7 linked regions of the Rattus norvegicus genome follow. The protein of the gene in region 5 interacts with the protein of the main gene of each other region in a pairwise test. Links are inferred from orthologs where the notes say so. Each region holds a gene or a part of one and is shown on either strand. Other genes may lie near its edges.

The links.
Region 1: the proteins of Exoc1 (region 5) and Ccser2 interact in a two-hybrid assay, tested with the Homo sapiens proteins (2 studies listed by BioGRID and IntAct). The link is inferred for Rattus norvegicus from reciprocal best matches to the Homo sapiens genes EXOC1 and CCSER2.
Region 2: the proteins of Exoc1 (region 5) and Trio interact in a two-hybrid assay, tested with the Homo sapiens proteins (2 studies listed by BioGRID and IntAct). The link is inferred for Rattus norvegicus from reciprocal best matches to the Homo sapiens genes EXOC1 and TRIO.
Region 3: the proteins of Exoc1 (region 5) and Sybu interact in a two-hybrid assay, tested with the Homo sapiens proteins (2 studies listed by BioGRID and IntAct). The link is inferred for Rattus norvegicus from reciprocal best matches to the Homo sapiens genes EXOC1 and SYBU.
Region 4: the proteins of Exoc1 (region 5) and Trim9 interact in a two-hybrid assay, tested with the Homo sapiens proteins (2 studies listed by BioGRID and IntAct). The link is inferred for Rattus norvegicus from reciprocal best matches to the Homo sapiens genes EXOC1 and TRIM9.
Region 6: the proteins of Exoc1 (region 5) and Traf3ip1 interact in a two-hybrid assay, tested with the Homo sapiens proteins (2 studies listed by BioGRID and IntAct). The link is inferred for Rattus norvegicus from reciprocal best matches to the Homo sapiens genes EXOC1 and TRAF3IP1.
Region 7: the proteins of Exoc1 (region 5) and Golga4 interact in binary tests that used the Homo sapiens proteins (3 or more experiments, as listed by UniProt). The link is inferred for Rattus norvegicus from reciprocal best matches to the Homo sapiens genes EXOC1 and GOLGA4.

Annotation. Positions count from the first base shown.
Region 1 is NC_086034.1:12,742,622-12,747,659, forward strand, and holds the start of Ccser2 (protein FAM190B), read right to left. Parts: upstream 3,383-5,038; 5' UTR 3,167-3,382; intron 1-3,166. UniProt on the Homo sapiens protein: Microtubule-binding protein which might play a role in microtubule bundling.
Region 2 is NC_086020.1:80,412,647-80,416,885, forward strand, and holds part of Trio (triple functional domain protein), read right to left. Parts: intron 3,628-4,239; coding exon 3,435-3,627; intron 1,279-3,434; coding exon 766-1,278; intron 1-765. UniProt on the Homo sapiens protein: Guanine nucleotide exchange factor (GEF) for RHOA and RAC1 GTPases. Involved in coordinating actin remodeling, which is necessary for cell migration and growth. Plays a key role in the regulation of neurite outgrowth and lamellipodia formation.
Region 3 is NC_086025.1:77,770,649-77,774,887, forward strand, and holds part of Sybu (syntabulin), read right to left. Parts: intron 908-4,239; coding exon 710-907; intron 590-709; exon of another isoform or gene 1-589. UniProt on the Homo sapiens protein: Part of a kinesin motor-adapter complex that is critical for the anterograde axonal transport of active zone components and contributes to activity-dependent presynaptic assembly during neuronal development.
Region 4 is NC_086024.1:94,495,491-94,499,121, reverse strand, and holds part of Trim9 (E3 ubiquitin-protein ligase TRIM9), read left to right. Parts: intron 1-2,420; coding exon 2,421-2,583; intron 2,584-3,631. UniProt on the Homo sapiens protein: E3 ubiquitin-protein ligase which ubiquitinates itself in cooperation with an E2 enzyme UBE2D2/UBC4 and serves as a targeting signal for proteasomal degradation.
Region 5 is NC_086032.1:32,007,068-32,011,306, reverse strand, and holds part of Exoc1 (exocyst complex component 1), read left to right. Parts: intron 1-301; 5' UTR 302-311; coding exon 312-435; intron 436-1,684; coding exon 1,685-1,815; intron 1,816-4,239.
Region 6 is NC_086027.1:99,554,418-99,557,576, reverse strand, and holds the end of Traf3ip1 (TRAF3-interacting protein 1), read right to left. Parts: coding exon 3,145-3,159; intron 1,402-3,144; coding exon 1,236-1,401; 3' UTR 1,063-1,235; downstream 1-1,062.
Region 7 is NC_086026.1:127,084,211-127,089,149, reverse strand, and holds the start of Golga4 (golgin subfamily A member 4), read right to left. Parts: upstream 3,069-4,939; coding exon 2,997-3,068; intron 2,824-2,996; exon of another isoform or gene 2,726-2,823; coding exon of another isoform or gene 2,711-2,725; intron 1-2,710. UniProt on the Homo sapiens protein: Involved in vesicular trafficking at the Golgi apparatus level. May play a role in delivery of transport vesicles containing GPI-linked proteins from the trans-Golgi network through its interaction with MACF1. Involved in endosome-to-Golgi trafficking.

The sequences.
Region 1 (5,038 bases), on a different chromosome or scaffold from region 5:
TAGTTTATTTTGGTTTTATTTCTTGTATAACAAAATGTCTTTTGGAACTAGTGGGGCCTACTGTGCTAAGCCCATAGTTGAAAACTGATGTGCTAGATACATAAATCTACAGTTATCAACTTTTGTCCTTAAAACGCTATCACAGGAGTAATCAGAGCAGCTCTTCTCACAACAGGCAAACCATACGTGTAATTCTAGACATGCTATTAACCATCTGTAACCCAGTTATACCAAAATCTCACTTTACAGAAGGAACGGTGCAGGGTCTCCATATGGTAACCAGAGGCTTGCAACACCAAAGTATAAGCAAGCTCCAGGCCAGCGGAGTGGTAAAGGTTTCTCCCATTTTCCCAAACGAGGTATCATGTTTCCCAGCCACTCAAGGGCTTTCGGTCCGTCCCTAGGAGTGGCAGCTAGGGAGGAGGAAAGCACAAGGACTGCGGTCCAGAACAGTGAGGAGCAAGCAAACACGAGGTCAGAAGCTGTGACACAGAGGTTCGTGGAGACAGAGGCAAGCTGCTTGCTTGTCCATGCTTTAGTTGTTCAAAGTTATTTCATCAGTGAACCAAATAATCTGCTAAGTCTTTCCAACCTAATATCCAATACAGCCCTTTTATAATAAATATCCATTTCTCTCATATCGCACCAAGACGGTGATCCCTTTATTAGAAATTAGAAGCCAGGCACTGATGCCTCATTTCTGTAAACCTAACACTGCGAAGCCTGGGGGATGAGGAGGGGCTGCAGAGATCTGAGCTCAGCCTAAGCTGAACAACCCAGTGAGTTCTGGGCTAGCCTGGGTTAAAAAATGTAATTAGAATTAGGATAGAGGGGAGTAAGAGTGAACTAGAAGGATGGCCAAAGGACATCTATGTTCCCAGATCTGTCCCTTTCTAGCCATAACTGTGGGCAAACCCCTGCACCTCAAAATAAAGTTCTAGACCGACCCTTACTTGCCATGGTCTTCATTCCTCCATCTTCAAGTAGACTGACTTTTTCCCCATCATAACGAGGATGTCATTCCTAACCAGTACCCGTTTTTACTTCATCCTTAAGCAAATACAAGCAGTAATGTTGGGGCTGGAGAGATGGCTCCGCAGTTAATAGCATTGGCGGCTCTTTCAAAGTACCCCAGTTCAATTCCCAGCAGCCATATGTCATCTTCCAACCGTCTGTAACTCCAGTTCCCGGAGCTCTGGCACCCACACGCAGACAGAAAAGCGGGCAAAACACCAAATACGTAAAATTTTTCTAAAAATCATTTTTTTTAAAATACTGATTTTTTTTTCCCCTCAACTTTCTGGTACTGAAAGACAGTCCAAACATATTTAGCTCACCCTAAATCTGCATTCGAGCCTGGACCCTCTCCTCAGAATGCACTGAGTAAACAGATTTGAGCAGTATGTGCTGTAGCAGTAAACTTAAAAAGACACTCGAAAGCCTGAGGGAGACAATATATAAGCAAATCATTAACTCCCAATTGATGAAGTACTCAGTGCAGCCTGGCATGGTGCTACTGGATCAGTGAAAACAAGAGATGAGATGCCCAGACGTCAAGCTCTATCACTCTAGTGGGAATGCAAGGTGTTTACTAGGAAGGCCATTCTGGAGCCAGGAAACAAAGGAAGATGCCATCTTCAGTAAACTGCAAACAGTCCCAGAGAGAGGACCTGTGTAACAGTAGATGAATTGAGAATGCAGACAGACACCAGAAACTGGGAAAGACTGAAGGAATGGAATTGGAACCATGAAATTAAAAGTCTCTTCTTCCCCCACATAGTAAAAGCAATCTGGCAACCAGCAAAAAAAAAAAATCTACCTGAGGGAAGGTAAATAAAAAAAGTTCCTGGTCCCAGGACAGCTCCTAGCTTTCTTGTTATGGCATATTAAACAGGACAAATTACAGGTTAAGGGTTCTAAGTGTTTTTAACCTAGAGATTGAGGCCAGTGTTGTTGAGAACAAGGAAGAAAACCACCATATAAGAGAAGGGCGATGCGCTCTAACAAATTAAGAGAGACAAACATTAATAAAGTCTGGAAAGAAGACTGACTTCACCCATGCAAACCACTTATTAATGTTTACATCCTTACCAATTATAGATTATACATTATAATACCTACTTTATACTTATCCTCCTCATTCAATTTGTTTAAAGTTTTTTAAATCTAAATGATGATACGCTGATCAACTGTCTAAATACATATATTCCATTAATACTTAATGTTCTCGATAAAAAAACAAAATGCTTTATCAAACAGCTACTCTGGGAAAAAAAGGAAATGTTCATTCTCATTCATAACCGCCCTCCCCAACCCTCTGGGTTTTCTTTTGAGACAAGGTCTAAGTAGTTTTTGCTATTCTGGAGTTTGCTCTATGGGCTAGGCTAGCCTGGAGCTCACAGAAATCCACCTGCCTCTGCTTCCTGGATGCCAGGATAAAGGCGTGAAGCCTCCACACCTGGTTTCTCCTTAAGCGAAATAGGACACTCCAATCTTGGACAGCAAAGAATCTGTGCACTAGGAATTTCCATTGCTAAGGCCTACTTTATGATCAGCAAACCTAATTGGCTAGGTAGTCAGCAAAGATGAATTTGCAATTATTGAAATTCAAAATCAGGCTTTATCACCAACGACCACCCCAAATGGATTACCCCCTCCCTTTACTTTGTCAAGAAAGTAGGTACATTTTAAAACTGTATAAAAATAGATGTCAAAAGAGGGAGAGGAGGGGGAAAAAGCATCTGAACCTACAGATACGGTGTAATCCAAAGTTCTCATGTGTTTTAGGGCGTGTCTTTGTTTTGACTCAGTGATTTCAAAAAAAAAAAAAATCCCACTCATTCAGGGCTCTCAGGTACTTCCCCTTACCAACGCGAGCATCTAGGCTTTGAAATCCCAGGGCATCTAAGCCTCGCCCTGATTTCCCGGTGCAGGAAGGCTGCAGCCCGGGTGTCCCGCGGTCCCTTCCCGTCTCAGCACCACCGAGCAGGGGCATCCGGCCTGCCCGCTGCACCGCAGGAGGCTCGGGAGAGGGGGCGGGGGCTCCGAGGGTCGTCCCAGAGCACCGACGCCCAAGGACACCCGGCCCTCGTTCCGCCCGCGCTGCGCCCGGGAGCCAGGTAGCCTCCAGCGTCCCGAGACCCCGGCCCTGACCCCCGACTCTCACCGTGCGGAGGTCGCGCTGCCTCCTCGGCCGCGGCCCGGCTGCGGGTCGCCCAGCGACCTGCCGGCCCGAGGGTAGGAGAGAGGCGAAGGACAGTCCCGTCACATCCCCGTCCGCCCAGCTGCCTGCTCCGCAGCAGCCAGCATCGCCTCCACGGCCTGCGGGAGCGCCGGACTTCACCGTCGCCGCGCCCCCTCCCTTGGCCGGCACCTCCTGGACTCCGCCCTCCAGGGCCCGCGCACTACGCGTGCGTCGCCCCGCCTCCCGGACAGTCCTTGCGCAGGCGCGAGTCTCACTGGGCTAGGCCCGCCTCCGGGCCCGCCCCACCCTCGCGCCAGCCGTTCCCAGGCTCCGCCCTGATCCACTGACCTTGCATCTTTGCCCCCTGACTCAGGTCTTTTCTGGTATGAACCTTTCACTCCAGTCTCTTGGCCGACCAACTCAAAATGGCCCTCTGGATTCAAATGTGCTGCTTGACCACGACCAAACCTGTCAGCTCCTGCTCCAGACTACTAGGAGTGATCTGAAGCAACCATGACTTTGTTTTGGCCTGTCTGTGGCTATGCCTCAGCCAGGCATACTGAATCTGAGCAGAGATTGCGATAAAACGCTGAGAGCTGAGAAAAGGAGCTATCTTATGAGGGTGTGGATCTCAATCCCATTCCATAAATCATCTCTCCAAGTCATTGAGAGTTACCGTGCAAGCCTGCAGTATCTGGCTATCTATTATAAGCGTTGAAAGTGATTATTTATCTGACCCTAGACTGCCTGTTCCCCTCACTAGCCCCAACAGCTCAAATGAAATTAATAACATTGAAAGAGAACTTGGAAAGGCACCACCTCTCCTCCAGACCACTAACATAATTACGCTGTGATAGGGGAGGAGACACTTGTGCCCCTCCCTTAGTCCATCAGACTGTTGGAACATTATACTCCAAATAATTTAAGAAAATAGATAATTCATCCTGGAGAAATGAAAACAATACCGAAGGCCTAGCGCCGTCCGGAGAAGGAGCTTGCCTCTCAGGAATTGCAGCTCTGAGGTCTCAGATCACTTCGCGAGATAGCCTTGAGTGAGCTGAAACAACGCTAGGTCAGCAATACCGCACCGTAACCTAGCGGAGTATTCAATTTACCACTATTTCTAGCTCTCTATTTAAACTTAAACTTCTTGTCAGTACTCCTGAAGGCGGACTTGGTGGTAACTGGACCCCTTTTCTTCCTCCAATTCCCTATGTGGCCATATTGAATAGCTCTCTTTTTTATACGTTCCATTATTACTTGTCTCTTTAATTGGCCAATAGAATAATGATAGGGAGACTTAATTTTGTGGGTGATAAAATGTTGGAAAAGACTAGGGTTACATGTAGTACATTTCTTTGTAGATTAAGTAAATCATTAGGAGAGCAAAGCCTCAGACCTCTGAAATACAGGCTCCAGCACAACACTCATGAATTTATGCTATGCTTTGAACTTTATGCTACAATCAAAGATCAGTTGAGAGATGGGGAAAAAGGGGCTCTTCACAGATTGTCCTTGGGAGCTACGCAAGATGCAACAGGTCCAATCCGCTTTATAAAGACTCTGGGAGGGGGGAGGATGATCTTTCAGTTCCCCAAACCAAGATGAGCTTTGCTTTTCTGAACCACTTGGCTGTTGTCTTGTGACTCCCGGAATATTTGAGGTAAGCATGTATTTTCTTTGGCTGTTTGACGTGGTAGGTCATCACTTCCCTTTCTTCCACAAAGGTAGGATCCTCACAGAATGCTTGCTACATATGAATTTTTACAGGCTTCATCTCATTTTCTGTGTTCCCGTTTTTGTCTTTGTCCCAATTTTCTCACTTCCTTGGTTGTCACCGTGCTTCTATTTCTA
Region 2 (4,239 bases), on a different chromosome or scaffold from region 5:
GGTCTCCTGTAACCCAGTGATATTGTCACCTGACTGAAGGTCCTTTTAATGTACTGTATCAAAAATTTCTAATATGCTTTTATTACTCTGCAATAAGTTTGCCAGCCCATGAAAAGAGAAAACTCAATGACTGTAAGTTAAGAGGGATTACTTCACCTATGCTCATGGCTTGTTTGCAAGTGTCCTTTTCTTTGACATTGCAAAGAATACATTAGCTGCTGATGAATGGGCGTTCCCTTTGGCCAGCTGCTGTCTCTAGCGCACAAGAATAGCACATGAGAACACGGAGCAGTACTGCTTGGATCACAGAGAAACGTGTTTTTAATGGCCTCACTCTCTTGTTATTAAGGACACAGGTACCGGTCTGAAAGGGTTTGATGGCTTTGTTTGAAGAGCGGGAAGGTACCAGAAAATCTATATATTAAATTGTTGCTTTTAAGAATACAATCATGATCCCCAGCTCCGAAAAAAAAAAAAAAAGAATACAATCATGAATTTGTACTTTTAACAACAACAACATCACCCTTGCCTTTCTGGCACTTCTCACAGAAGCATCGGCAGCTTCAGCTCACACTGCCTCAGGCACTGCACTGTGAGTAAAACTGGAAGCCAGATGTAAGCGAGGTCTCTGGATGGCCTTTGCTGTGGTGTGATCGTTGTAACATAGACCTTCTGGTTTCTCACCTTGTCACGTCAGTCTTGGCTGTGAGACCCACCAACCCAGCAGCAGCCCCTGTCGGGCTGCACGGCCCTCCCCACCTTTACCTTCTCAGCATCCTGTTCGAACAGCCGCAGCTGGAAGCACTGGTCCAACTTCAGTTTCCTCACGTGCCACATCTGGTGCAGGTGCTGCCGAGTCGAGTGCAGCCTGTCAAGCATGGTGGACACCTTGGGCAAGAGGTTCTGCAGGTCTGCATTGCCCGAGCCTGAGTTCTTTTTGGGAAAACTCTCGCTGCTCTGGATCCGCTGAAGCAGCTTCTGCCCCTCTAAGTCCAAGTCCTCGATGGGAGCCTTGATCACCTTCTTCTTCAGCTGAGAATGCTCGTCAATCATGTTCCGAGCCCCCTCTAGGTCCTGAGGTAACTCCTTTTTTGCAAGGACGTCCTGAAGTTCCTCTAGCCGGGACAGCATGTGGGCTGCATTGCTAATGTAGTCCTCAAAAGCTACTCGGATTTCTATCCATTCCTCATGGTTGTACTCTAGGCAGCCATCAAACTCAGGGGTTAGCTGGGAGGGGTCAACCACTTTGGTAAGGCCTTCTAAAGAGACCATATTTGTCTTGGGGAGGAAAGAAACATGTATGAGAAGATGAACCATGTGATCACATCCTATAACTTACAGTGGTCACACAGAGGTTCCCTAAGTAAAGAATAACCTGCGTACAAAGACCCAGTCAATGTCTGGTTCTGCCTCCCGGAATACAGAGGGAGACTCATTATCCATGCAATGAAAAACTCCACGGAAGTAGCATGTGAGGGAGAATGCCCAGCAGCATAGAACTGTAATTTTCACAAGCTCCAAGTCAACTGGATTTCACTTGAAGAACGAGAAAAACCTAAATCGTAGTCTTATTAATGCCTCACAAGAGTTGTTGAAAATGTTTTCACAGGGTAAAGACACTGGGAATGCCAGCTTCCCTGGGGTTGCCACACATCTGTACAGCCTAACCACTGTACACAGCCTGTCCTGCAACCCAATTTAACACTAAGGAAGCTTCAGTTTATCCCAGTCTAAGCCAGAACTCTCAACCTCATCTGAGGTAAGTGAAAAGGAAGCACACTGGGGTGTGTGTGTGTGTGTGTGTGTGTGTGTGTGTGTGTGTGTGTGTGTGTGAAATGCGAACACAAGGGAAACTTAGCTGGTCTAGAACTGAAAGAAAAACAGACCCGCTACCCAACCTCTGCCACCTCTGACGCACACTCAGAACTGACATCTCCGTGCTGGCTGGATTAAGAAACAGCACATGGCAACAGGCTGGAAAGAGCAGCTCAAGCCTGCACTGCCTTTAGCCTACAGTGCTACAATGGGCTTTTTCTTATCCATCTGCTGGATCATCAGTAACCTGCATGGAGGCAGACACACACACACACACACACACGCACACGCACAGAGAGAGAGAGAGAGAGAGAGAGAGAGAGAGAGAGAGAGAGAGAGAGAAAGAGAGAGAGAGAGAGAGAGAGAGAGAGAGAGAGAGAGAGAGAGAGAGAGAGAACCACACAGGGACAACCAGGTCAGGAGGAAAACAGGCAGGCACCTTCAGGAGCCCAGAGTAAGAGACTAATAAGTAACATCAGTAAATACTTATATGAATGCAAACTACTGGGGTTTTTTTTGTTTAAAACATGTATAATTAAAATGCATTACACTTTAAATTTTCCACTAAGCAAATACTAAGAGCCAGTAAATTATCTTCCAAAATGACTACTTATTGAGTATGAGGATAAAGTGTGCTTTCTATTTCACTTAGACCACTTCAAAGCAGTTTCCAATAAAGCCAGAGTTTAACTCCAGAGAGGAAACTCAGCATTGTGGGAAGGTATTTTAAAATCCAAGTAGTACACAGGAGGAGACATGTTGACAAGTACAACTGATGTTGTTTCACTGTGGAATATTGTTTACCTTAAAACACGATTCTTTTACACCGAAATCTTTTACAGCCTAATATCACGGCAGAGACGGCAGGACAGCAGGCTTTTCTGTCCACCAGGAACGGTTATAATTTATAACGAGAAACTATCCCTGTCCTATTACAGAACAGGACCTGAGCCAAGCTTCAAGCCGGCTGGGATACTTTCTCCTCTAATCATCCCATTAAACTGACCACATCAAAAGCCTTGTCAGAACTGTGGTGGCTTAAGGAGAGGCGGCTCTCAGTGGGAAAGAAAATAAATTAGCAGGCTTTGGTTTACTTTTTATAACCGTCTGACAGCCATCGTCTAGGCCCAGCTGAATGCAGAGCTCTACAGTTCTCAAAGACTCCGTACACTTTTACAAGACGACATGTAGAGTGGCTGAGGAGTCTCCCCACTATCGATGACCAGATGGGCTCAATGCCCCTCATATTCCCTCATGCCCAGGATGCAGCAGTCACCACACATCTGCAGTCACTCGGCCCAGTGCTGACAGGGGGAGCTGTTCAAGTGAGGTGATGAGAACAGGCTTCTCCTTCCAAGCTACCATGGCCCCACACCCTAATCCCAAAGAACTGAAGTCCAAACCCCTGTGCCAAAAGCCACCACACGGGGAAAAGGGACGAAGGCATCTACTTTAAGCATTAACCAATGTTTACCATACACACATAAGGCGGCTAGCTAGGCCACACTCAAGGCTTGGCTGTAAAGACCTGCCATGCCATCAGCCCACTGTGGTGGGGATGCACTGGCTTATCACAGACTGTGCCTGTGAGTTTAGGATGTGACTACCTGGAGTGTTACCTCAAATTCAAATTTGGAACTGCCAAAATTCGTCCTCTGTTTCTGCCAGAAGTTGTCGGGCTTGATTATCAGGGCGATGTGGATGCAGCAGGGGAAGGACTCCTGCAGGATCTTCAACAGTGGTTTGATGGAGTCCCACTTGGAGCCGCGCATGTCCACAATCACCGTGAACCCTCGCTTGCAGACTTCCTCGCTGCAGGGCAGGAAAGAGGCTGATGAGTGAGTGAGACGGCCCAGCTGCTGGAGCCCTTGCTGTGTAAGTGTGAGGACCAGAGCTCACATCCCCAAGCACCCACATTCACAACTAGCATGTATTAGGGTGAAAAGCAGAGGACCCAGGTTCCTTTCCCAGCATTGATGTGGTAGCTCCCTGACATTGGTGACTCCAGTCCTAAGGGATCTGAGGCCCTCTTCTGGCCTTCATGATTACTGCATGGAACAGGGGATAGACAGGCAGGCAAAGCACTCAAACAAAATAAGAGGGAAAACAAAAAAGCAAAAACAAACAAAACAAACAAACAAAAAACCAAACAAACAAACAAACAAACAAACAAACAAAAAACCGAAAACCACTGGGTCTGGCCCTGCCTTCCTGTAACCGAGCACTGTGGAGGATGAAGACAGCAGGATCTGGGGACGGCTGACTGCAGCCTAGTTCCAGGTTCAGAGACACTCCAGGGAATAAGGCCAAAAATGTTAAGGCAGACATTTGATATCCCCTGATGTTCTGTGAGCACACCCACACACGCACATCTACCTGTGCACAAACAGGCACACGTGTCCCCAACAGGCATGCTCAGGGTGG
Region 3 (4,239 bases), on a different chromosome or scaffold from region 5:
AAGATTTCTTAGGTAGTGTTCGTGCCTATGAACAATGAACTCAGAAGGTCTGTTTCTAGTGATGCCTTTGGTCAAGGGTCATTTAATCAGGATTCACACACCTTAATAAACCAGATTCTAAAACACAAACAAACATACAAAAAAAAAAACCACCTGTCTATGATGGTTACACACTGTACTTAATTACCAGCAACTATTGCATTAAATATTTTATTCTACCTGCTACATCCCTTAAAAAGCTGTCTGGGTCCTGGGTACCATCATTTCTGATTTGATAGGCAGGTTTTAGTGGAAATCTCACTGACTGCACTATATCTCCTTGAAGGAAGAACACACCAACTCATTATCTAATACCAAACGGTCATCGCTGAAAACATATACACATATAATATTATACAGCTAAGCAGATATGCTTAGATATATGTATATAGACAAACATATGTATAGAACAACAATTAATGAAAAAAAAGGGCATTAATTTGAAAAGGAGCAAAGAGACATAGATGAGAGGGTTTGGGGCAAGGAGAGGAAAGCAGAAATTTAATTATATTATAATCTCATATTTAATTATATAGATAATATATCTCAATTATATATAAAACATATACAATTTAATTACATATACATATATTTAGTTTTATAATCTCATATATTAATCTCAAAAAATAAAAGAAATAATGTCTTAAAGATGACTAGTAAGGGTACTTACCTGGCTTTATGATGCCTCCCTTGGATTCTTTTTTATAACGAGCTGATTGGATATTTCCCTCACCAACCATCCCAATCCTGCATTTCTTCCTGGTAAAATCTTCATCACTTCCAGGGCAAAAGCCAATGGGACTGTGTCCAGTGTCTGAGGGAGTCTTCACAGGGGATACCGACTGGCTGCTGGGACAACCTGTGTCGTCTAGGAGACAGAAATCCATAAGTTTCGAGTCATGGCACAGGGATGCCAGCTATGCAGGTTTCACATGCTCATGAATGAGTGAGCTGCTTGGAGGACCCAACTAAACTGGGCATGACTCTCTTATGGATCCTTCTTTTGTTTTTTTGTTTGTTTGTTTTCCCCATATGTTGGCTACTCACATTGGCAAAGAAAATACTCTTTTAAGGAAACACTTTAAAGATATACCATCTTAGTTAGAGTTTCTATTGCTGTGACAAAACACCATGACCAAAGAGCAAGATGGGGAGGAAAGGGTTTAGTTGGCTCAAGCTTCCATATTGCTTTTCATTACTGAAGGAAGTCAGGACAGGAACTCAAACAGGTCGGGATCCTGGAGGCAGGAGCTGAGGCAGGAGCCATAACAGGGTACTGCTTACTGACTCGCTCAGCCTGCTTTCTTATAGAACCCAGGACTATCAGCCAGGGATAGAACTACCCACAATGCGCTGGACTCTTCCCAGCTGATCACTAATTGAGAAAATGCTTCCCAGCTGGATCTCATGGGAGCATTTTCTCAACAGAGGCTTTCTCTTCTCCGATGACACTAGCTTGTATCGAGTTGACGCAAAACCAGCCAGTCATATATCTTATCATCATGAAGACTTCTGTAACATACATTTTTTATTCAAAGCATAGGCCAACTTGAATATTTTATGTGGTATAATTTTGGTCCATCCACAAATTTCAGTTTTGGGTTTTGTTTGTTTGTTTTTGCTTTTTGGTTTTGTGATTGAGACAAAGTCCCACTAGGTTTCCCTGGCTGGCCTGGAACTCACAGAAATCCATCTTTCCCTACCTCCCAAGCACTGGGACTAAAAGTGTGTGCTGTCATACCTTGCTGACCACAGGTGCTTGAATGGGGTAAATATTTTAAAAATTCAGAAGAAAAATTCTAAGTAATTAGCTTGCACTTTTCAGAATTGTTTTTGTTAGGAAAATAGAATTACTTGGATATTACTGACATTGCCTAAGCTTTTTGATCAGATGGCCTGTCATCCGGATAGTAGATTTCCAGTGAGCCTCTGAGTTTAAAAGTTCAAAGAAACAGAAAGACATTATAAGTACATATATCCAACCAAAAATAGTCCAAACAGATCTACTCCTAGCTGTAGTAAACTGGAAAAATAAACACTAAATTTCTTTATGACTAAATATAACTAAGGTCATTCATTGTATTATGCTAATGTGTGCATTATGGAGTGATCAGTGCAGGTGCCCATTAAGCATCAGAGAGCTCACGTTGTTTTCTCTTATAAATGCTTTCCTTATTTGCTAAAGTATTTAGGATGGCTGACTCATTCATTTAAGCTCTAATGAGAATTTCACAAGAATTTAGGACCAAATTGAGGATTACTTTAAAATATACATACTTAGCAAAATAGTAAATGTTTGTTATTGGAACTGTTTTTACAAAATAAAGTTATTTTGATTTCAGAATTACTTTACCAAGTTAACTAAAGTTTGTAAGATGGGTACATACCATTAATAATCTTAGAACTATTGAGTTATTTTGAGCATTAGAGTGCCCAGAGTGATGTGCCATCTACGGTAGGCTATCCTGGGTCTCCACAGCTGGAATAAGGGCAGGATGGAAGTAGGGACGAATGAAATCCAAGGACCACATGACTCATGCCTAGGCTTTCTCTATAAAGGAATTGCCATTGCTTCATTTCTGGCTTCTACTTTATTTTTATTATGAAATATCCCAGTTCCTGGAACAAAATGAACCTGGCACTTCAAGACAATGCATTATTTATTGTTTTTTAAAAAAAACTTTTGGACACATTACTTTTAATGGGAACCTCCACAGTTTGTTTTTAAAAGTGAATGGTAGTTAGCACACTGTGTGTGCAAATGTGCTATAACCTTCCTTAGTGGCTAGTGACTTTTGGTCCTGTGTTCCAGAGGTGAGTCCCTCTTTCTGGGATATGACTGTCCAGCTATCCCATCACATGATATTCGTGCCTTCTCCCTACACACCCATTTGCATGCCCTTACTTCAGTGCAAAAAAATAAAATAAAATAAAATAAGAAAAAAAAGAAAAGTCAGAGTTCCTCTCTCAGGGGGCAAATTTGCTTACTGGGTCAGACTCCAGCGATATATATCTATCTGTGCATTGCCCAAGAGAAACTTTTCCCATTCCAATGCAGATAAACTCAAAATGAGTGGAGACAGAGCATTCAAAATTGAATACTGCCTTTGTGATGATTTACTTGTGAATCAGACCCACCAGTTGTTTTTAAAAAGATACTGCATCCAGATAAAGAAAAAATCTATGCTTTAGAATGTCTTTTTCTTTTATTGAAAGTACACAGAATTAAAGGGGTAAAATTAGGTGATTTCTACTTGGGAAATAAGTGTCTAGAAAAGCATTTGAAATTATGTTTTAAATAGGAATCAAACGTGTCTTTCTTGGTTCTATGACATCCTTCTTGAGTAAAGAAAGTGTGTGAGAGCATCATTTCCAGTACTTGCTACTTCAGCAGCCCCTGGGATTGCGTGCTGTCTGTGGTTTAGGTAAAATTTAGGACTTGACAATTGGGGCACTGTGGGAGAGGCAGTAGTAATCTTTCACCTGGAGTTCGAGGTCCACTTGCCATGAGCATTTACAGCCTTATCTCTAGGAGACAGGATTGAGAAGATAAATATATAAATCAATCTTGGACTCTGGGTACCTCCTAAAAGCATTTTATCACTATCTACCATGGTTGGGGAAAACAATAGCCATAGGAGATAGGGGTTTTCTTAACAAATGTGTATCAAATTCTGGCACTGATGGGGCTCACAGTTATTGGGTCTACTCTGCAATTGGATTCAATCGACGAAGAAGCCAAAGGGAATTTGTGTATATCATCCTATTTGCACATTTTGTCTCAACTGAGAAGTAAATGCAAATAAACATGACAAAGATCAATAAGTGCTCACAGTGGCCTGTGCTCTCTGCCTGGCTTTTCTAGTGGAACCAACACTAAGAAAGGAGTGTAACTGTGAGAGAACAGATGTATCATTTTTGCTATGGTCAGGATAGACTGAGAACTTCATGTGCCAAAGAATCACTTGGTTACCCATGGTACCTTAGGGATTTCCTCTGTGCAGCCCTGAAGAAAAGATGATTCTTTCAAATCCTTCTGGGGCTACTTGTCTGCTCTTACCAGATTGGGCGAAGATAATACTCACCTTCAAAGTTCTGTACAAAATTCCCTCAGTTGTCATTTACAGTCATATTCTAAGAACAGCAAAGCCAAGCTGCTGATCTCTGGGTTTATATTCAATCCTACAATTGTGAACTGAC
Region 4 (3,631 bases), on a different chromosome or scaffold from region 5:
TAGAGACAGCATTAGGAAACAGAGCAGATGATCTCTACTGAGTAGGAGGTCCTGTAGTCTCTTAGCTCAGTCCATTCTACTGTTTTCCACAATGCATAAAGATAGAGTTGTTCTCCTCCCGCTTGGCCCTTCATTGTTAAATTCCACTCAGGTCACAAAAGACATCCCTGGGCCTGTCTTTTATAGACAAACCACCCAAGATTGGAAAACCCAGACCTAGGACTTAACCACAAAAGTGTTTGGGGCCAAGGTACTTCAATTTTTTTTTCTGAATTCTGGTTTGTCAATTCTCCAAATTCATATAATAATATGTTTCCATGCAGGAGAGGTCTGAAGACTACATGAGATGAGATTTGCAAAAATGTCTCCCGTTGGAAGTGCCTGGAAATGGAAGCCATTCTTGTTACTATCATTATCAGCAATACCGCTTCTCAGAATAGAAGCCATTAACTAAACTTGGTGTTAGAGATGCCAGTCCGGAGAGCTCTAAATGAGAAGGATTTGCTTGTTAGTGTGAGAATTAGAGCACCCAGTCTGCTGAAGGGAGAATAGTATCTCCTTAAGCAATGCCCTCTATCAACAAGATATTGACAATTTTAATTCAATATACCCTATAATCTCCCTTTCAATTTGTGGTCTCTTCAGTGGATTTCACTCATCATTTCTGGAGCCAAAGGTGTCTTTTGATGACACTGGTCTGTCTTAATCACCCTCAGGATACATTTCTCTTTGGTGTCTCTGGAAAAAAATTAGTTATGTTCAGTGAAATCAGAGGGAAAGCAGGCCCAGCAAGGGCAGAATAATGACCTCACTCTCTCAGCCTCTCCTGTCAGATCACCACTGATGCTTTGCTAACCAGTAGACTCCTAGAGCTTCCCGGTCCTCGGACATTCTCTGTCCTGTTCCATTCGGTCTGTCTTAGTGGCTATCCCTTGAACTGAGCACCCAAAGCAATTTATCTTGGTATCGAATCCAAGTGGCTACAGAGAGCAATTATCTTCAGCGATCCATACCAGGGGAGACTCCGTTACTCGGTCCCTGATACCATGACCCAAACATCCCTGATTCCATCACCTGTACACTTGTGTTTAGCCCCTTGACTCCAGAGTGGTGGGATAAACAATAGTAACACCATCACACGATGCAGAACAGCACATTTCAGAAGCCGAACACATCTCCTTGCATGCAAACTGAATGTGGCTTGTGCTGTCGCTGACAAACTTGTATATAGCAAGATGTAGTCCTTAAGCCCGTCCGTGGCGGTGTCCAGTCTGTCTTCTGCATGCAGGAGAAAGGAGTGGTGTTTCTAAATGTCTGTGCTCTGCTGAGATGGAATTCTGTTTTGCTAGACCTCACACTAAGGAGAGGAGACAGACCGGGCTGGCTGTCTCTGTGCAGTCATCACTTGCATCAGAAGACACGGTTCTTTGTAAGATGATGTTTGTACTTGGGTTGGAAATCACAAATTCCCTGCAGCATAATTATGTCTCAGGGAAGCATCTCGCCCAGTGCTGTCACTTTACAGAGAGAACCTAATGTCTTCATTCAAAGTCAATGTGCTGAAAGATTAGCGTCGTTCCGGAGTGAGCTTCACTGCCTCGTGGGAAGCAGAAGGCTCGGAGTCCAGTATCTCATCATATATGCTCTGGGCTTGACCTAAGTGCTTCTTTATTGTGACTTTCCAGTTAAATCATTTTGTATGAAATGCTGCTGAAGTCGTACTGTACATGCTAAGTGCACAGCATAGCTAGTGCACCGTGGGAGCTTAAAGGCTGTTTGGGCCCAGTCTTTGGTATCGTCTGCTACTGCAGCTCAGTAGCAGAAAGTCATTGATAACAATTCTCTCTCAGCAAGGCACAGTAAACAAGGGACTGTCATGAGGGGTGGCTGTCTCTGCGGGGGGGGGGTGGGAATTTGGGAGAGCAAAGCATCTAAATCATATGTTATTGTGGGAAGCACAGACACACAGAATATAAATACCACATAGTATATCTAAGGCTTTAAGGTTTTCGTATGAAAAGGGTTACTTAGAGCAAAAATGTGTTTTTAAGAAGCTGACAAAAGTGGAGTGGGGGTGTAAGGAGGTTACACTGGGCCTGGTGGGACAGGCCTATAGTCCCATCTTCTGGGAAGGCAGGAAGACTGCAAGTTTAAAGCTTGCCCGGGCTATCATGGAAGTCCGAGGCCAGCCTGGTCAATTTGGTAAGACCCTGTCTCAAAATAAAAAGTAAAAAAGAAAAAGGTCTGGGGTAAAACCCAGTGACAGAGCACTGGCCTACCACACGCTAAAGGCAACCCCCAGTGCCAGAAAGCAAAGGGGAAACGCAGCAAAGGGGAAACGCAGCATGGTTCATGGAGCTGCAAGCAGGAGATGCAAAATGAAAGCAAGCGGATGAGACTCCACTTTCCTTTTCCCACAGAACTGAAGGAGGGATCACAAAAGGGGCCACTATCGGGGTCCTCCTCGACTTAAACAGAAAGACATTAACGTTTTTCGTCAACAATGAACAGCAAGGCCCCATAGCCTTTGAGAATGTGGAGGGCCTGTTCTTTCCTGCCGTCAGCCTGAACAGGAATGTACAGGTAAGCGCCTGTCCCCAGGTCTAAGGGCTTGCTCAGGCTGCTGCTTCAAAGTCTGCCCCTCCCCCAACCCCCAGCTCTAAGAGGGAAGCTGGTACAAGGCCCAGAGTGAGACACACTACAGACTCCTTCCCACGTGGCTGCCACAGTCTAGTTAGCCACCCATGGGAGGCAGAAGCCACCTCTGCCCTATTTACTGTTGGTTTTGTCTCTAAGGGCTACTGAGATAACACCTACCCGGCAGGCACCAGGAATGCCTGAGAAGAGCAAACATTAGACACTTCTCGGCAGCTGCTTCTCATCCTTCACTCTGCATTGTGCTGCGGGCTGGGAAGCAGCAGCCCTGCCTGTGAATTAGATAGCTGCAGTTCCCCATAGATTCAGAACAGGTCCTTCCCTGACTCAACAGACAGCTGCAGGGATCCTTTAACCCGCCAGGCTCCACTGTAAACATTTGCTATCTATCGGTGGGAGAGGAAAGCAGATACAAATCTTACCTTCCTGAAGTTGTGTGCTAGCCACAGACGATAATCTATGTCCACGGGGTGTTATTTATAAGGGACGTTAGAGGGTCCGAGTATGGTAAAGGGGTCCACGGTGCTGGGGATATGCTAAATAAATAGCCTTAAGCAGGGTGGTCAGTCAGCCGGTCTTCGGCTGTTTATCTGAGTCCTGCAGGAGGGAAGGTAGCAGGCTGTGTAGATTTCCAAACAGAAGGCACAGCCCAGACTTAGACTTTTCTAAGGCACGAGCGGTTTTGGGTGGGCAGAGAGTGGTAAAGAGGCTAGTGGGCGAGGGCAGGGAGCAGACAGAGGGGCCTTCAGAATATGCAAGGACTGTGGGTGACGTCCTGCCAACCACTGTTAGAATCCAGGGCTTCACTGCCCTCCTGACTGGGCCTCTTATTACTCCATATAAACCTCACTAACCTTAGAATGGGACTTGAGAATCAAAACACTGTAGAGAGTTCGTGCCCTAGCTACAGCCACGGTCTTTAAAACTCTCTTAAATTGATTACTGTCTATGAGCAGATGTAGGAAAACTGCATACA
Region 5 (4,239 bases):
TCCAACAGAGCTGTCGCCCCAGCTCTATACCGAACATTTTTTCTATATTTATTGGCTTTTTGCACGTGTCTCTGTGTGTATGCTTGCATATATGTATATATGGGTGTGTGTGTGTGTGTGTGTGTGTACTGGTTTCTCTGATTTCATTTCCAAACTTGAAGCTCCATGCTTCTATGTTATAGATGTATTAATATGTTTATGTATTTATTAAGAATTTATCATTCGAGTCATAAATGGAACACTATGAGGGGGGCGGTGCTTTTGTGAATTAGCTCAACACCTTCTCCTAAATGCTTTTCAGCTGAGAGAAGATGACAGCAATCAAGCACGCACTACAGAGAGACATCTTCACGCCCAACGACGAACGCCTGCTGAGCATCGTGAATGTCTGCAAAGCAGGCAAAAAGAAAAAGAACTGTTTTCTGTGTGCCACAGGTCGGTGTTTATTCAGCAAAAATGTGTACTAGATACTTCAGATTTTATTGTGTTTTGGTCGGGATTGCTTTTAAGCTATCATTTAAGTTGTAGGGACTTGCGTTTTTTAATGATGTTTGTTTCCATGAATATGCTTATTTTCTGTGTTGGTAAGCCTTGCTACTTTCTTTTTAAAGTTTTGCACCTTTTTATATTTGTTACAAGGTATTCTTACGTCTGTGTGCTGTTACCAGTTATAATGTAAGATATGATGAAACAAAATTGTATCTTTTTTAAATACACTGTTAGCAATATACTGGTTTAAGACTTTGCTTCCATGTTCTTTATTTGTGTGTAGTTTTCCTCTTGCTACCTTCAGCTGGTTAGCCATAGTTATTAAATAACCAGTGCGTGCCCCTTGCCTTCTCACTAGAATGGTTGTGTGCTTGGAGTTATTCTCTTCTTGAAAACTTTGCAGGAGAAGCAGGTGGCAGTGCTGGACCAGTGTGGGGAGGTGGGGTGATGACACATTTTTGCCCAGCAAGTGCAGTTTAGTGGACATCTTTTCCAAATATTCCTAATCCTGTTACCCTTTAACACAGTTCCTCATGTTGTGGTGACCCCAATCATAACGTTTTTCTTGCTGCTTCGTAACTGTAATTTTGTTTTTATATATCTGTTTTCCGATGGTCTTATGTGGCCCCCAGGTTGAGGACCTCTCCTTTAGTCCGTTTGGGTATGTTAAGGTCTTTAAGAGAGTATTGGGGGTTTGTTGTTTGTTGTTTGGAAAGCCATTGCTTTTTAAATGTATCAGCATTCATTTCAGATCCAAACTCCATTCTGTTGCCAGTCATGTTTTGAAAGTAGAAACTAGAGCATGTAACTTCTCTAATGGCGTCCCTTGCTACCTCCACCGCAGTCCTTGAGAAGCTGAGCACCCATCCTCTGTAGTGACTTCATTCCTGGCCATCTCGTCTTTCTTTGTGCTGTCAGGGTTGACTACCCACTGTTGCTCTTTGTGATGGTGTGAGGCGCTTTCAGGACTCTAGGGACTTAATGTGTCAGTCGTTAGATTTCTCCTCCTGCACTCTGTGAAAGAGGCCTGCAGCTGTACCTCTCAGGCATCTCTCTGCCTCCAGCCCTCTAATCTGACTCAGATGATTCCTTTAGGAGTCTCTGACCTCTGTCCAGGCCCCCAAGAGCCACATTTACAGGAAGAGTGAGTAGGTGACTCATGCTAACAGTCGTGTCTGTGTGCTCTGTTCAACAGTGACAACTGAACGCCCCGTGCAGGTGAAGGTGGTCAAAGTCAAGAAATCTGACAAGGGAGATTTCTACAAAAGGCAGATTGCTTGGGCCCTGCGAGACCTTGCTGTGGTAGACGCCAAAGATGCCATCAAAGTATGTTTTCCACAGTCCTTTCTCTTGTGTTCAGGCAGTGTCTTTGCTGTTACACACAGCGTTGTGTGCTGAGGTGATCTAAGCTTTTCTGTGGCTGTAGATCTGCCACCTGCTAGTAGAAAATGCATTCATCTCTACTTCTTCAGCCCCGCTGTTAGACCACTTACAACAATAATAAAACTATGTACATGTGCTGGGACCACTTTTTTACTTTATTAAAGCTACAGTTATGTTTGTGTTCAAACTACATAAACTAGAACAAACTGACCTTAATACTATTTCTTTATTTAAATTAAATATACTTACTAGACAATTCTATAAATCAGTATGGATTTCACAGTAATAGGTTGTGTGAGTTAAGTCTCTAAGATAGTCATTGTTTTGGTAAGACTAAAGCATGTGTGATGTCTGTAAGGGAGGCTTCCTTTTTAATCCTCCCGAATAGGGTGAGGAGTCAGCAGCTGATGGAGCCAATCTGGGTATTGGACATTTGTGGGTCAAATAAAGGAAGTGAGACAGGATTACTCACCTTATTTTGAGGTGATTAAATAAAGTTTTAAGGATATAAGCTTTATACCTTTGTTTGTTTGTACTCAAACTACGAGGACATAGCATAATTCAGTAATCCCATTAAAGGGCTACCTGTGTTCCTGGCAGCTCAAGGCAGTTGTCAGCAGTACCCTGTGACAGTCACTAGCGCTCCCTCTCTTCCTCCACTTCCCTGCTGGCCAGCTATGCCCTGGTCACTGCTGTGCGCCTTTGTAGCACAGTGGGCACCGCAGCGCACCCACCGTGCATTGGTGGGTGGTTCAGAGCAAGGCCTGCACCAATGTAACTGTCAGACCTCTGCGGAACTCCACAAGTCACGCCTGCTTGGCAGAAGGCACAAAGAAGAACAAAATGGTAGTGGCATCTGTACATTTTTCTGGTAAGAAAAAATTTTAGTAAGGTAGTCTTTTCCTAAGAAGCACACAGGATTTAGGGAAACGTATAAAGTGGTTTGACAAGTGTGGAGAGGAAGAGGGAGGAGTATTTGAAAAGAAAGTAGTGTCTTTTTAAACTTCAGTACGTGGTTTCTGATCCTGGGGTGGCAGGAGGAGGAAACGTTCTGGGAAGTCTGAAGAAGTGCACAGGTCAGCAGCTTTGCAGACATGCGCCGTGAAGTTCACTCAGCAATGCCCAGCACGGCTCAGACAGACTTCTCTCTGCTGGCTTGTCTGTGTCCTGGGTTTTTGTGTGTTTGTTTCATTTATGTAAGCATCTTGGTGTGTGTTTACTGTAGATGGATATAAAATGGGGAATCTCCATGCTGAGCCTGGGAGTAGCCGTTTCGGATCATGCATTGATTGGTGTGGATGCCACACTGAACACTCGGCCTCATTGCTGGCGTGTGGGACTTTGCCAGTGCTCTTGGATAACTTTGTACATAGTAAAGTGACTCCTTTTCATCATAAATACAAGTTTTCACTTAAAATTAGTTTATTCCATTGGGGTGGGGCACATGTGCCATGGTGGCGTGCGTGTGGAGGTTAGCAGACAATTGGTGGGAGCGTCCTGTCCTTCCACCACGTTCAGCAGGTTGTGAGATTGTCAGCCTTTTCCTGCTGAGCCAGCCCACCAGTTCAGGTTGTCAGCTTCTTGGATATGTAAGCTCTGTTTGTTCAGACGTACGTTGAATACATTGCTAATTTTACCCCTCTCTTATATGACTATGATGTGAAAAGTCAAGTCCTATCCCTTAAAATACCCCATTCTTCAAAGTAATGGTCTCTAACTTTTCTTTCCTTGAAAGTTATTGACCTCCCCTCCCCCTTATCTTTGTAGCCTATAGACCATTAATATGTTAGAATATATTACTGTCCTATCCTGAAGTGCATTTGAGTCTACATTTCAATTCTTTGGAAGTGCACAAGACTATACAGTCATGATTGATTTCCACAGAATACTCAAGTAGTCCTAATTGAGAAAGACATACTGCTGTGCAGTGGCTGTTCTGGTTAGTTTTTGTCAACTGACACAAACTAGAGTCACCTGGAAGGAAGGAACTTCAACCGAGGAAGTGCCTCCATCCAGTTGGCCTCTCGGCATATCCGGCATATCCGGCGTATCCGGCATATCCGGCATATCCGGCGTATCTAGCGTATCCGTATGGCATTTTCTTGCTTGTTGATTCAGGTGGGCGGGCCCAGCCCACCTTGGGTGGTGGCGTCCTGGGCAGTTGGTCCTTGGAGGTGTACTAAAGGGAGCCGAATGGGAGCAGGCCAGTCAGCAGCTTTCCTTCATGGTCCCTGCCCTGACTTCCCACTGTGGGAGCTGTGGGATCTTCCTTCCCGAGTTGGTTTGGTCAGAGTTCTATCACAGCAACAGTGAAGCAAACTGAACTGACCCGCAGACTTGGAGCAGGCATAATGTGACTCAGGCTGC
Region 6 (3,159 bases), on a different chromosome or scaffold from region 5:
TCCAGGCCCCCCTGAGAACTGGACTGCTGCCTTCCACTAACTGAGAAACACTGGCTGTGCCACCTGTGCTAAGCCTTGAGGCACAAAACCGTGCTAAGGCAGTCTTCACACTTCCCAGGGTTCGACGTAGTGTACATAATAAATACCCAGAAACGTAAGGAACACCTCAGACCTTATGCCAGTAAGAACATCTCCAAACACAGAGAGATCCTTTATACGATAATTCAAGACCTTAATAAGTATTTACAGAAGGTGAAAAACTGAGTAAAAACCATTTAAAAAAAAAACAACTTTACTTTAAAAAAAAAGGGTCTTTAAAAAAGGAAAATAAACACAAATTGTAAATTGGTGTACTCTCTTCCTCACAGTTTCTCCTCACTCCCAACTCTCGGAGCACGCCTTCACGGAGAAGGACCATGCTACCTCTTCATGCGACAATGTCCTCTTAAGGTGGCCTAGGGGACTGCTCATCCATCAGGAGTGAGCTGGATGCTGCTGGGGGCTGCAGAAAGCCTCAGTGGTAGCCTGTGACAGGTTCCCATCACACAATGCCCATAGAGGCTATGCTAAATCCTCCTTCTCAGCCTATGAGCGTTAAGGGATAGAAATGCAGACAGCAAATCTGCAGAGGCTGCAGAAAGAAGCCTGTGCAGTAAGAGGGCAGCAACCCCACACAGACGACAGGCACCTTACAAGGACATGGGCTGAAATGACGCCCTTCAGGTAGAAATAAAATGGCAATTTAAACATTTTAGGCCTCATTCTATTTATAAAATACCCACCAAAAATACATAGCTGTCCTTTGCTCCATGCCAGTATGAAGTCCTTCTGGGAAACACAAAAGCAGAAACAAAAGCCTGCTGTTTGCCCAGTAGGATGAGACAACTTACCTGCTAAAACTAGGGTATAGGGTCAAACAGGCTGCAGCAGAAAAAACGTATTTGCAAAAAAAAAAAAAAAAAAAACCAAAACAAACAAACAAAAAAAAAACAAACAAACAAAGAAAGAAGCCCTCCCACAAAGGCGAGCTGGGGGCTATTTGTAAGCAGTGAGTACCGCAGCTGGAAGGAGGGAAACACAGCCTTTTAATAGTTTAGTGCCTAAACTGAAAGCTCTGACCTTAGCTGGGTCAGGGCACAGCAGGCCATCGTCTTAGCAGACAGGGCTCAGTGGGGCGGTTCCTGCCCCCTTGTCCATCATGAGGAGGATGGTTCCATCTCTGCAGTGCTGGCCACTCATCTTCGTGATGACAGGTTGATACTGTGCACCATTTTCTGGATCTTCTCCTCATTCTTCAGGATGTTGGCCTTCACCGCACAGATCTTGTCCTGCTGGTCTTTGATCTGTTGTTCCAGCTCAGACAGCTCAGCCTTCAGGGGCTCCACCGCACTGTCTGTGATGCTGGTGGACAACAACCAGTGAGTGTCATCAGCTTTGTCTGTGCCTCTCACTCCAGCCCAGAGGCCATGAACAGCAAAGGGCTGGCTCCACCCCAAGGCAAGGGTTTACGTGTCAGACCCCTAAGAATGGCAAACAGGTACCCCTTGCAGCTGGCAGGCCTAGAGTACAATCCAGCCTGAGGTGCTGATGGCTTATTCGTTTACTTCCTACGGAAGCAGGGAGGGAACCCAGGGCTTCACATGCTAGGCAGGCACTCTCCCAGAGCTCTTTCCCTAGCCCTTAAAACGTAAAGTGAAAAGGAGCATCTTGGTGACAGGCTTGAAGTCCTTAAAGTACACAAAAGAGACCCTGGGGCAGCAAGAAAGTGGACGGACGGCTAAGGTCCCACAGACACTGAACATAGCCTGAACCAGTGCCTCCTTACCAGGAGACACCTCCTCAGTATAAGGCTCACAGGGCTTAGACAGACTCCCTCTACCCAGGTCCTTGGCTCATGTGTTCAGCAAGGACAGGTGACCTCCTCATTGCTGGACTGAGCACTGGACCCAACACAGAATATACCTCAAAATGCTGGAGCCAAACATCACTCTCCGTTCAGGCTTTTAATACAACACAAAGACACCCATACCCGACACACACACTTTGCTGCAGGAGAGCAGGATCAGGTTTTACAAGGGAGGCTCTCTCTGGGCTAACGGTACATGCTGCAATCACCATCAATACTATTGGTGATTTCCTACGTTCCATCATGTGACATATTTTAAAATGTGTAGGACTTTTTAATATAACAGACTAGTAAGAAAGAGCCCCCAAATTAGCTGTTCAATAAAAATCGGTCAGCTCTGACACCATACACACACAACATAAGAGGACTTAGGTGGTGTGTTTATGTATTTGTGCATACACATACATATATGTACCTGTATGCAACAATGATAAAAGCTGCTATCAATCTGAGGGGTTAGAGGAAGGGTAATAGGAAAAGGAATATAATTCTACTATAAAATTATTTTGAAAACATGGGGGAAAAAAAAAGAGTACAATTTTAGCTGGGCATGCTGGTCCATACCATTAATCACATGTTCACAAGGTAGGTAATCTCTGTGAGTTCAAGGCCAACCTGGTCTACAGAGTGAACACCAGGCTAAACTGTGAGACCCCGCCTCAAAAAACAAAACAAAGCAAAACAAAACAAAAGCAAAAAGCAGAAGGAGGGGTTGGGGATTTAGCTCAGTGGTAGAGCACTTGCCTAGCAAACGCAAGGCCCTGGGTTCGGTCCCCAGCTCCGACAAAAAGAAAAAGAAAAAAAAAAAAGCAGAAGGAAGGAAGGGAGGGAAGGAAGGAAGGGAAGAGTAGACCCAATATAACTCAGCTTTCATGAAACATGGACTTATGGATATATCGTTCAATCAATAACATGTTCTGAAGGAAAAAAGTCTACACGTTTGGTCATATAAAAGGTACCTCTCTAATAATCTCAGTCTCCAGGGGCTATTCTATTCCTTTCAGTCACAATTCTGAGTTCGTCAGTGTCTCATTCAGGCCCCGCCCCTCCCTTCCTGAAGCCCTGCCCCCACCCCTCCCTTCCTGAAGCCCTGCCCCCACCCCTCCCTTCCTGAAGCCCCGCCTCCCACCCCTCCCTTCCTGAAGCCCCACCCCCACTCCTCCCTTCCTGAAGCCCCGCCTCCCACCCCTCCCTTTCTGAAGCCCGCCCCCCCCAAAAACCCTGGCCGCAGCCCCCACCTCTGCTCCTTGCTC
Region 7 (4,939 bases), on a different chromosome or scaffold from region 5:
GAGGCTGACTAGCCCTATACACTATCACTATTGCCACTGTATGGAAGATTTGAAAAGTTTACTCGAAACCACCAGCATCTGCCAGGAATTCACTGGACACACAGACCAAGATAATCAAGCTAAGAACCAGAAAGCACGCACGTAACAGCTTCTAGAGAACCAAACAAACTGAATGCCCAAACTCAGGTTTCTACACTAAAACGCACTGTAGAACCCCTCAGGTAATTACCTTTAATTCACACAAAGTTTATGTGTGTTATTTCAAAGCTCACAGTAGTTCAAAAAGCAGGGAGAAAACCAACAGTACACAATGAGAAACTTACAAAGTACAAAACGTAACCAAAAACAAGAAGAAGCTGAGTGCTGATGAGCTGCTTAGAGCAGGGGCAGGAGCCAACCTAAGAGTGAGCACAGAGAACCTTTCCTATCTCATTAAATCCTTCAAGGGACATGGCATGGGCATTTACTCCCAGCACTCAGGTGGCAATGGTAGGGGGGTCACTAAATTTGAGGCCAGACCCTGGTTTACAGAGTGAGTCCCAGACCAGGGCTACAAAGAAAAACCCTACCTAAAAACTAAAAAAATAATTATTTTAGAAGGTTACTTAAGTCTTACCTATAGGGTTGTGTCTGACCCAGATGCTTACTTCTCTAAGGATATTAAGTCTTACCTATAGGATATTAAGTCTTACCTATAGGATATTAAGTCTTATTTATAGGGTTGTGTCTGACCCAGATGCTCGCTTCTCTAAGGATATTAAGCTACAAGAACTGGGAGCTCCAATAGCTTAACTTGCAACAAGCTTTCTAAAACTCCCTTCCTACTCAAGAGCTTCAGTTCATTTTTAGAGAAAAGTTCAACATTAAATAGGAAAAAGTATATTATGTATCTTAGCGATACTTCATCCTATTAATAGGATATCTTACGGTATATTCTTTCAGACTTGTATTTTCACTACACACACACACACACACACACACACACACACACACACACAGTTTTCCTGGTGTGCTTTTGGGGAACATGGGCTTGATGTGTTGCTCAGACTGTATTTGAATATGAAATTCTTCCCAAATGCTGAGATTACAGGTGTCAGCCATGCCACTTATTAAAATACGTTTCTTTTTGCCACAAACACTGGGCCACAACTCACACATGCACTTGTCTCTTGTAACATCTGTCATTCTATGTAAATAATACTTGTTTGCAGCTCTGATACTATGTAGCAATTAGGTTATTTTGGGGCCCTCAACACACCTTCATCTGTAGGAGGAATAACATGTACCTCATGGAGTTATGAGGTTTAAGTAATCTACATTAACTACTAAAGAAAAGGTGAGCAGAGGTCCAAGTCCATGTTCATTTTTACAGCTGCACAGTAGCCTGGGAAGAATGCATGCAGCCAACTCTATCGGCCCCAGAGTGTGACCATGGAAGCAGCACCAGGGCTAGCAAGGCAGTTCAGACGCGCTTGCCTGAGCTCCATCTCAGAATCCAGGTTAAAACGACAGGTGTGCTGGCACACTCTGGGAAGCCAGTGCTCCGAGGCACAGGTGGATTCCCCGGACTGGCTGGCCAGAGAGCCCAGCCTATTTGGTGAATCCCAGGTCAGGGGGTCTGTTGGAGAGATGGCTCAGAGGTTAAGAGCACTTGTTTTTGCAGAGGACCAACCAAGGTTCAGTTCCCAGCACCCACATAATGACTGACAACCATGTATTACTCAAGTTCCTGGGATCCAACACCCTCTTCTGGCCTCTGTGGACAGTAAACATGCACACAGTATACAGACACACATACAGACAAGACACTCACACACATAAATAAATAATAATATTTTTTAAATAGTAAAATGAAAAGGGCAATGCCTGAGTAATGACACTATGGTTGTCCTCTGGCCACCACACGCACAAAAGCCACACACACACACACACACACACACACAGAGAGAGAGAGAGAGAGAGAGAGAGAGAGAGAGAGAGAGAGAGAGAGAGAGAAAGTGAAGAGAACGGCGTAACTAAATCTTTTTGCATCCTAAATCTTCTCAGAATATGTTTCTAGAAACAGAAAGCTGGGTCGTTATATTTAAGCACCCAAACTGCGACCTTTCTTGAACCATGGGCTTTCTAGGTGTCTAGGAACCATAAAAGTAAAGCCGTTCGTGCTCCATCCACTGATACTCAGAAAGACTGGGGAGAGATTCAACAGAAGCCCTCCCCTACTGTCACTCACACCCTCAGCGCTGAAACCCTGAGTGCCGGGAAGGATTAGTTTGTTTCTAACACGAACACGCCCCCTTTTCCCAACCCGGAACCATACTCCATACTAAAAAGCATACTAAAAAGCAATGGCGGTCCTGAAAAGACGCAAGAACACGGCTACTACCGACAGGCTCCGTGCCCGTCCTGTTCAGCGTCTGCCTCTGCGCCCTGTCCGCCATCGCCCAAGTTATGCGAAGTGACTAACTCGTGACAGGCTTGGTCGCTGGACCGCCGCCCTCGGCTCCTGCGAGCAGCCTGGCCCGGGAAGGCTCAACTCAGTGCCTCAATCAGGGTTTGGTTTGGAAGCAGGAGACTTACAGGGACCTGGCTATTCCGGGTGCAATGTCCAGTGAACACGGAGGGGGACCTCGGACAGAGGTCAGAGGTTAAATATCACAGAGGACCTGGGCTGCCCCACCCCCGTCACCACTCTAGAGTCAGGGTCCCTTACCCGTAAGAGAAACATCCCACGCAGGACCGGAACCCATCGCACTCATTTCTCAGATCCTGTCGGTTCTTACGGGGAAAACTTAGGGGTCAAATGTCGCGACGGGTCCCTTCGCCCTGCACAGGGACGGAGTTTGGTTGGGAGAAACCAGGTCAGGGTTCCTACACGACCTAGACGGTCCAAAACCTTCCTGGCCTAAGGTTTGGGGGTAAAGCCCCGGGGCGGAGGTCAAAGGTCACGGACGAACTTTACCCCGCCCTCCGAGCCTTGGCGCAGGGGGACAGCGTACCTGAGCAGGGGCTAGCGCCTGCTGCAGCTGCTGCTGCTCCTCGCTGATCTTCTGCTTCAGCTTCTTGAACATGGCGCGGCGAGGGGTCGGCGGCGTCTCTACCCACGGGGAGGCCGGGCCCGGGCCTCGCCGCCTTCCTGTGGAGCTCGCGGGCACCTCGGGGCGCTTGTCGTGCGGGTGTCGGCGTCGCCGCCGCCGCGTCTCTTCTTTCTGGGTGCCCCTGGCTGGCCTCGGCCCCCCATCCAGCCCCGTCAGCGGCGGCGGCGGCGGCGACAACGGCAGCAGGTGAACGCGCCCTAGGCGCCTGCGCGGCCGACGTGGAGCTTGCCAAGGGCCTGCTACGGAACGCCACGGTGGACAATATGGGTGGTGTGGGTGAACGCGCGTGCACCGTAGCTCCCGCGCTGACGCTAACTGAGGTCTTGGAGCTGTGGAGTCAGATAGGGAGCATCGCGCCACTGAGCACCACAGTGAGGAAGGCAGGGGTGAGAGGGGATAGAGCTAGAAATGCAGGAGTGTATGTATTCAGTGTCGCTTGGCACAATAATTTAGAATTCTCTCTAAGGGTTTTTGGATAGTGGATTGTCTGGTTGATTGGATGGATGGATGGATGGATGGATGGATGGATGGATGGATGGATGGATGGATGGATGGATGGATGACTAGTTGGTTCGTTGGTTGACTAGCTGGTTGGTTGGTTAGTTGGCTGGTTGGTTCGTTGGTTGGTTGGTTAGCTGGTTGGTTGGTTAGTTGGCTGGTTGGTTCGTTGGTTCATTGGTTGGCTAGCTGGTTGGTTGGTTAGTTGGGTGGTTGGTTGGTTGGTTGGTTAGCTGGTTGGTTGGTTAGTTGGTTGGTTAGTTGGTTAGTTGGTTGGTTAGTTGGTTGGTTGGTTAGTTGGCTGGCTGGTACGTTGGTTGGTTGGTTAGTTGGCTGGTTGGTTCGTTGGTTGGTTGGTTGATTTGTTGGTCGGTTTGGTTGGTTTAAAGAGAAAATCCAGGGCTGAGGATGTGGAATGCTTGCCTAGCATATGCAGGAGGACTTGGATCTAGCATCAGCACCTCATAAACTGGGTGTGGTTGTGTACACCTGTAATCCCAGCACCTAGAAGTAGAAACAGTAGAACCAGAAGTTCAAGGTTGTTCTTGCCTATGTCATGAGTTAAGGCCAGTGTGAGCTACAGTGAGATCCTGTCAAAAATGTAAACCAACAGTCTGGCTGTGTCATGCAGACGGACCTTGAATTTGTTTGCTAAATTGATTTTCCTGCCTCCAGGATGCCTGAGGTCTACAGGTGCACAATTTTCTACCTAGTCAGAACTGTCTGCCTTTAGTGCTTAGTATTGTGACTGCACACCAAAGTAGACTTTTCCATCTGTCAGAGAGTCTTCTACACTTGCACAACAAAGAATATTTCTGTGACCTCTGCTCATGAAGACTCATATCTCATATGATATTTCAAAACTCTAGGTCTCATCCCCTACCTGGATGACATCCATTCCATTCTGATTCTTTGGACTGAACATTAAGAACTGGTGTGGCGGGGCGCACACTTTTAATCCTATCACCTGGGAGGCTGAGGCTAGTTGATCCCTGTGAGTTCCAGGCCAGACAGGGGTACACTGCATAGTGAGACCCTGACTCAGAGAGAGAGAGACAGAGACAGAGATAGATACAGAGAGACAGGGAGATACACAGAGAGACAGAGAGAGATAGAGAGAATACCAGATCTCACAGGTTTAGGCCTCAGTCCCACAAGACTGCCCTCAACTTCCAATGGCAGTCACATTGCCAGTAGAGGAGATTCATAGCCAAAAACCCAAGTGAAGGAGTCCTATCTCTGGGCATATATAATACCTTGTCTTAGTTTGTCTGCAAGAATTCAAGGAAGCAACCTGGAGGCGGGAACTGAAGCAGAGGCTAAGGAGGAATGCTGCTCATTGCCTT